Linked DNA regions of Drosophila melanogaster. The protein of the gene in region 1 interacts with the protein of each later gene in a pairwise test. Each region holds a gene or a part of one and is shown in the gene's direction. Other genes may lie near its edges. The genes, in order: CG14957 and Nha1.

The links.
Region 2: the proteins of CG14957 (region 1) and Nha1 interact in a two-hybrid assay, tested with the Drosophila melanogaster proteins (one large-scale study listed by BioGRID).

What each region holds. Positions count from the first base shown.
Region 1 is NT_037436.4:3,185,673-3,188,702, forward strand, and holds CG14957 (uncharacterized protein), read left to right. Parts: upstream 1-1,890; 5' UTR 1,891-1,906; coding exon 1,907-1,933; intron 1,934-1,996; coding exon 1,997-2,136; intron 2,137-2,194; coding exon 2,195-2,318; 3' UTR 2,319-2,434; downstream 2,435-3,030. Other genes in the region: CG42494 (uncharacterized protein), read left to right, coding at 1-280, 340-624, 677-800; CG32284 (uncharacterized protein), read left to right, coding at 999-1,025, 1,088-1,227, 1,291-1,432; CG42525 (uncharacterized protein), read right to left, coding at 2,539-2,659, 2,717-3,030.
Region 2 is NT_033779.5:6,867,142-6,872,262, reverse strand, and holds the start of Nha1 (Na[+]/H[+] hydrogen antiporter 1), read left to right. Parts: upstream 1-1,873; 5' UTR 1,874-2,129; intron 2,130-5,121.

The sequences.
Region 1 (3,030 bases):
TTTATTGCACGGATGGCTTTTACACTTGCTATCAAAATGCTAATCCGGTTTGCAAAACAGAGGAGGACACTTCCACCACCGAGATCCAGACAACCAGTACAACCACTCCTAGCCCCATTACCACGACAACCACTAAGAACCCAACTACCACTGCTACCCCAATTACCACAACAACCACTGAGATCACGACTACAGAAGCTCCGTGGAATGCCGACGATATCTGTCAGCAATACACTAAAAACACCTTTTTCGAAAACGAAGATGATCCCACCTGCACCACGTGAATACCCTACTGCTGAAAATTGTTTTCGATGCTAGACTAAAGAGTTCATTTTTCAGTTTTATAACCTGTACAGTTGATAGCGACGGAACGCATTCGACAAAAGTCACTTCATGCAAGGCTAATCAGTATTTCAGTACCAGCTTAAAGGTTTGTACCGCCACAAAGCCGGATGGATGCGTGGAGACGACAACCACTATAGCCACCACTACCCCAACCACCACCACCGTGACCACAACAGCGGCGAGTACCACCACAGCGGAACCCTGGAGTGCGGAGAAAACCTGCCTGACTGTCTCTAAGACCACTTTGTTTCAAAACCAAGACGACCCCACCTGCACCACGTAAGTAGACCACGAATTTCCAGGGAACAACTCACATAAACCATTCTTCTAGGTACCTATATTGTTATTTTATCAATGGATCGGCAACAGCTTTGATAAAGAACTGTAAGACCAACCAATATTTTGATGCTTCCTTGAAATCGTGCAGCGAAAACAAACCGGATTATTGCACCTAAGTCAGACCGTTTAACAGCAGTAATCGATCATTATCAGATTTATTGAAACCAATAAAATATTAGTATAAAACAATCATATGATACCATTTTCTAAAATTGGCAAGATAGGATGGGGAACAGGCCACTACAGTAACTATTTAAGAGCCACGCGGAGCTCTTATGCTTCAGAAAGCAAAAGGCAGTGCGGTTAAGCTAATCATGTGGCTGCGTATAATGTTTTTACTGGTGAGGTCTTTAAAAATATCTTTTACCTGTGCTAATGAAATATATGTACATATATATTTTAGTTGCTGGCTCATTGCCTCACGGCTTTGCCAGCTCCAGAGTTTGACGACCACAACTCGAAGACTTGGAGTGCGGAAGAAGCCTGCAGCGAAGTTACAACCACCACCATAATGGAAAACCAGGCTGATCCAACTTGTAGAACGTAGGTCACGTCTATGGCGTACAATAACCAAAATTATATTATATTTAAATTATACATTATCAGCTACGTTTATTGTTACGTGGTCAATGGATCAGTTTTGTCGTTGATTAAGAGCTGCAAAGTGAACCAGTACTTTGATCCCAATTTGAAAATGTGCCGGTCTGAAGTTCCAGATGAATGTTCTGCAATGGCACCAACCAACTAAATCCCACGGCATCTTTCATGCCACTTTGAACTTCTGCAGCGCCAATAAGCTAGAGCTATATCTGAATTTCTTGGAACCCAAAGCTTATAAATGTTTCAAATCTTGATGCCAATAAAAAGTAATAATAAATTATAGCATTGCAATGCTTTTGTAGGAAGTTTTATGGTTTATACGTTATATGGTTTTCAGCGAATAGATTCATTTCTACATATTCAAAACATCCGGATTATTGTTCTTGACAACACCCAGAGTTTACCCAGAAATTTGCACATATCTGAGAAGTCCATAAACAAAGTACATACGAGTACGAGAACGGGTGACAAAACAAATTAATAAACCTACGCAATAAACATTAATTACATTGCCAAAGCGTACCGAGATAAACGATGCTACAGATTAAATCCTGTGGTATTTAAAGGCCGCTTTGGCGCTCCAAGGTTTCAGTGTGCGAAGTGTAGCAAGGTTAAATTGACAATGTGGACGAGTCTAATTGTATCACTGGTAACTATGCAAGGACTGCACTTGGATCTATATCCCAAATCAAAAGAATCCACCCCATAATAGCTCCTGGTCCACTGCCTGCTTGCCGGGGCCGCGCCTGCGCTAAAGGATCTGGACGCGGGCACCTGGAGTGCGGATGAGGCGTGTCAGAATGTGGATAAATCGGTCATAATAGCGAACCAGAATGACTCCACATGCGTCAGGTAAGCAACTCGGCGGATTATACGGATTATCACCTACTAAATGGAAATTCACTTTCAGCTACGTCTATTGTTATAAAGTCAATGACTCAACGAGGGCTCTAATCAAAAGCTGCAAGACCGGGCAATTCTTTGATGCCGATCTCAAATTCTGCACTATCAGCAAACCAGCGGGATGTGTCTAATATGAGAAAGTCTTAGTTAGAAATACGTTTGAATAGTAATTCACTAGATTTTACATATGTATTATTAATTTATTACATTAAAACCCAAAAATTAAATATTTTTCGATTACCTAAGCAACCAGTGGCAAATTCCCAATCAAAATCCTAGACAGAATCGTTTGGATCATTCTTTATGGTTAACTGGATATAAAATGCATGAACTTTCTTTAATCGTTGAGGCTCAGCAGTTGCTCGGTCGTGTGGATTGACAGGACTCTGTATCCGAATTGTAGTATTCATTGGTGTTGCAATAGTATAGCCAGCCCAGGTAATCCTGACTCAATTTATAGCAGTAGACATACCTAGAAAGTCTAAAACTTAAGGCCAACGCATCTTGAAGTTGATAATAATATACTTGCATTTGACACGTTGTATCAGTCTCAACTCGGAAATATCCTTTGCTCTTCAACTTTGCACAATAGGCATTGGGATCTATTTCCGAAGGTACTGTAGTTTGAACGCTGGTAGATGGTTCAGTTGTTGTGGGCGAAGTACTCGAATCAGTGGTAGTGGCAGATGTGGTGGAATCTGTACTTGAATCTGTGGTAAGTTCAGATGTAGTTGATTCTGTACTCGAATTGGTAGTAACTTCAGATGTAGTTGAGTCCGTACTAGATTCGGTACTAATTGCAGAGGTAGTAGAATCCGTACTCGATTCGGTACTAATTTCAGA
Region 2 (5,121 bases), on another chromosome or scaffold:
CCAGCCAGCCAGCCAGCAGCCAGCCATCCAATCGAGCTGGCTCCTTTTGGGTGGCTTCGTCGCATTTGATGCTTGACATTGTTGGCAGTCGATATTGGTTGTAATTAGCTTTAATTGAAATTGCTACACTCCCGTCCAGCCAACACGGGTATGTATGTATGTATGTATGTATGCGCTGGTGTGTGGCACCGTGATTTGGGTTTTAATGGGGGAAATGGGAAAATGTTTGTAATTTTGGCAAAGTTAATTTATGGAGACCCCGCACGAATCCCTGACCCAGCCGCATTTTCATCAGCCACCTCGATGTCATGACGCATTTTACATTGGCCGTTTGCCACTCAAATAATTAGAGAAGTTTCATCCGAAAAGTTCATACATTTCTGCAATTTTGCGGATTGTTTGAATTGAATTCGATTCGGCCATTTGCCGTTTTGGCTGCAAATTGGTATGAGTTGCGAAAACAATATGCACATAGATAGAAAGTAGGTAAATATATTGCCGGAAATTAGATAAACAAATTTACAATAAATATTAAATGGCAGCAGTGAAATCAATTTTAATGCTATGCCGGCATACCTTTATGCGGGCAATGTCAGAAATATCAAATTAATCTCTGGCTAAAAATAACAATAATCATTTTAACCAAATTATCAATTGTAAGCACTATTTGCACTATTTGATTTCATTATAACATTGTTTTCCCCAAATACCGCATATCATGTACTTATATTGCACTAATCAAAGTTAGTTTACCCAGGTGAATCGCAGTGGAAATCTTTGAGGAGTTTATGGACACATAAGCACGGTTTATGGCGCAGATATCAAAAGGAATACTATTCATTGTCTGCGAGAGAACACGTTTATCAGTTTTGTGTGTATCGCGATTTGTCAGTTGAAATTCGGTAAGGTAAATAAACGAAAATCATACATTTGGGTTTTATGCAAATGGTAAATAAACAAAGTGACATCTTTATCGGTGTTTGTTTACGCCAAATGATTAATCTAATATAATATTTGGGCAAGTATTTAGATATTTAGAAGCTATTTGTATTATTGATACGCATGACGAGCACTGTAAAGTCAAGTCAATTAGACCGCCAATTAACTAATTGACTTTTCCACCGCCATGCATTCAATGTGACTCAATTACCAAATCCCCTCTAAAGTTCATCAAACGATGGGCAAACGAAACGTCGCGACCATATCAATACGAATTGATTAACGTGGCCATAAAGCCATCAAGCGCTTTCGATTTCCGATTGATTGAGCTTCTCAAGACTGCCTAATTAAAGAAAAACCAATCGTTATCTCGGGTCATCAATCATATTTTTTATTGCATACTTTTTCGTGTCACATATAGGGCCATATAAACAATGTATTTTCACACCGCCAAGAGTACCAGTTATGACATTGCATTTGCCAATGGTAAATTCTCAACTGAATTTATGGCCTGGGAAGCGTTGAGGAAATTATTTTGTTGACCATTTTATGGGTCGCACAACTCGAGAGGGCCTTAAGTTCGTGATATACTCGCGGCAGTGCAGTAGCCACATGAAGCTATATAGTTGGCTTACACCATTGGCTGCTTGATCGCCTTGATTTACGCCTCTTCTACCAGAAGAGCGGGCTTTGGGCCACCTTTATTTTCAGGTGGGTGGATCATACAAGAAGATAAGACTTACAGCCACATAACTTCGGGCAATTCTTCGCAAATCGGAGAGTGAGTAGGTGAGCAAGTGAGTGAGTGAGTGCGTGAATGAATGGGTGAGCAAGAGAGCGGTTTCAATTCGATTCGCTTCAATTCTTCCGATCGCGTTTACAGACGTGAGTGTGTGTGTGTGCCTATAAAACGCTGGCAGGAATTTGCAGCGACTTAGTCGTGCTTTTGGCCAGGTTGCGGTTCGACTTCGCCACAGTTTTCCGCCTCCGTGGTCCGCGTTTTGTGAATATGAAAGTAAAAGTCAACGCAGAACGACTAACTGAGTTCTAATTAGTCGAGTGCTGGCGCCATTCCGAGAAAAGTGAAGAAGATTAAAACACGAAGACAACGAAAAGTGACAAAGTGCTTTCAGATTTGAAACATCAACGAAAGTTGCCTAATTTCCTCCTGGCCGCCGTGTGAATACAAAGTAGGTTTTGCCACTCATTCCCATCTTCGAGTTCAGTGGCTGTAATAAAGTAAATACTTAAGATATTTCACATTTCTGGCTGTACGTGTTTTTTTTTTTGTTATGGCGACTCCAATCGAAATGCCAAAGCAGCCAAAACAGTGCAAATGCAAATTACATTCGTTTATGATTAAAACACCCGCTTGCGACTTTGAGCTGTTATTAATTTTGCTCATATATTTCACTTTATTTACGTTTTGCTGACCATTTGCATATTGACCGAAATTAATGAAATGTGAATGATTTCTTAATGAACTCGAAATGAATGCATAAGAATATTTTATTGCATGAGGAAAATCAATTTGCAGTGCTACCAATTGTATCATCATTTAAATGCTATTAAGCGAACATCTCAAGCGGGTTAACCCTTTAATGTAAGCTGTGAACGAGTTTCAGAACGCATTAATTCCGTATCAGTATCAATAAAATCAATCACATTGCCAAGGAAATGCGCAGTGCGTATAACGGTTGTGCATTGTATTATATATTATATACATTGTATCACAATCAAAGAGAAGGTTTCTGCATCTACGTTTCGAATAATTAGATCTACATATAATGAGTGTTTCAACTTTGATTCTGTCATGTCATACACAGATATATAGCACGTATATTGCTCTACTTTAGATACTTCAGTTACTTAAAGATACAAATTTAGTTTCCGTCTTTTGAAGTTGCATTGATACGAAGTAATATAACTTATATATTAATATGAATTAATACTCAACTTTAATTCTTTTCTGTGCACTGCAATAGAATAAACAATGATCCAGATCAAAACGTGCCGAAAAACACCTTAATGATAGCAGTAAATATTACCAAAATGTGTAACCTCTATCCGAAACAGTATCTCGAGTATACCCATCATTTAAGTACATTATTTGTGCGGTTTAGATAAGCAGAGGAAGTCTCACCATGATAAAGGAAATACATGCATAATTAAACGAGAAGAGTGATACACGGGCCAAATCTTATCGAATGCCTCGAAAATTGGGCCAATAAACACTTACCACAATTAGCAGTTGTCAATGGAACTAATGACAAAGGCCAAAGCCAGACGAAACGAGTGTAGAACAGCGTGAAGTGGATCCGACTGTGGATTACAGATATTGATAATGTTTTAATAAACAATTCGCGCAATTGAGGCAGATAAACCCCCAGTGGAAAGCACCTGAGACACACTGAAATCCAAAGAGGGCTCGATGGCTCGAAGGAAGGGGGCTCGGGGGAAATTGAAAGCGAAATCGAAATCGAATCTGTAGCCGATTATATAGAAACAACATTCATGGCTGATTGAGATTCGATTCGAGTGGAGTGGGTCTGTTAATGAAACACTCGTAAGTGGAGTAATCACACACATATTTCGCGATCCGATAGCAATCGTGAAACCAATTTTAAGGAGGGGGACCCGATCCCGTCTGCGTATTTAGCATTCGGTATGAAATCAATCACAATCCACACTTGGCCACACGGTAGTTGGGGTAGTAGGGCAATATCAAGCCAATTAAGTAGTCCGGCGCACCGATAAGGGTTTACCGCTACCCCACCGTCCCCCTTATCAAACCACAACTAGCATGGGCCCCTTCGATTTTTACGAGCCGCCAACTTGAGTGTTCGGTGGATTTTTATTTAGCCTTTCGTTCGATTTGATCTTTATGGCTAAATCTTTTTCGCCATAGCGCCCTTTGCTATCGCCGTCGATTGTCAGATAAGCCGCGAATATATTATATTATATGAATGTTCTACATGCTGCGATCAATCATCATCGCAAAAGTCTTTTATATTTGCAATAAATTAATGCAAATATACAGCCGTAGATAACTTTGTGAAAGCTCCAACGAAATCCGTCGACCATAAAAGATTCCACCGATGCCATCTAGCACTTGATAACTTCAATCGAGCGCTATTTAAAGAATTTTCCTTAACTTCTTCGAGCAATGGCATCGAATGTCTTTGCAAAACCCATTTAATTGATCAATTGAACGATTGGACTGGAGCTAAGTGAGAGTTGGAGGACGTCTCCTTTGACGTCAATCTGAAGTTAAGCGCACAGGAACCGATTCATGGTAATAAACTCTGTTTTATTGGCGCCCAATAAAGAATCATTGTGATCATTGGTTTTATCAGAAGACAACCTTTAATAGATATTTTTCGAAATATTCCATTTCATTTCTGGCGATTGCTTAAGTACGAGGAGTAATTTAACTGTGAAAGTGTGTCTAAAACCATATAAGCTGTTAGCAACTATATATACACAAAAAAATTAAATAGCTGTTAGCAACTATAGATACACAAAAAAATTAAATAACTTTGCACCTTGAAAAACATGATTCCATGTTTCCCAGCTAAAGTCAATTAACAGTCCTACAACCGGCTAATCGCAGCCGGAAAAAGCCCAGTGGAGATTAGCCAAGTGTCCAATATCATCATATCTCCCTCGCCATTGGTCACATGTGACTCCGATTGATAAGAATCCGTGGAAATGGCCGACTGTGTATTCTCTCCATTTGAATTCGATTCAAGTGAATTGTTCTCAAATTTTACACGCTCCACACACTCAAGTGCTTTGGGGATTAATTGTGTAAGAATGCGCGTACCTTATTATCACTGCTGATTATCTATTGCTGGGCAGTTCCGTAGACAATGCTCAACTCTGTCAATCGATTAGATTAACACAATGGCTATGGGATAACAGTCGTGCCATTTACAAGAGAAAAAAAAATGAAGAAAAACCAAAGACGAAGCACTGAAATGCGTTTGTCGTCTGACCAGATTTGAAAGTGAATCACGTCACAGGTAGCTGCTACTAATACGGATACTACTTCTCCATCCAAGCCCATCCACCCAACCATTGGTTGCCTGTCCAATTTCGAAATCGTAAAATGTAAATGTTTTTGCGACCCAAACCCCTCCCTCACCCACTGGTTTTGGCTATGACCATTGTGCAATGCGT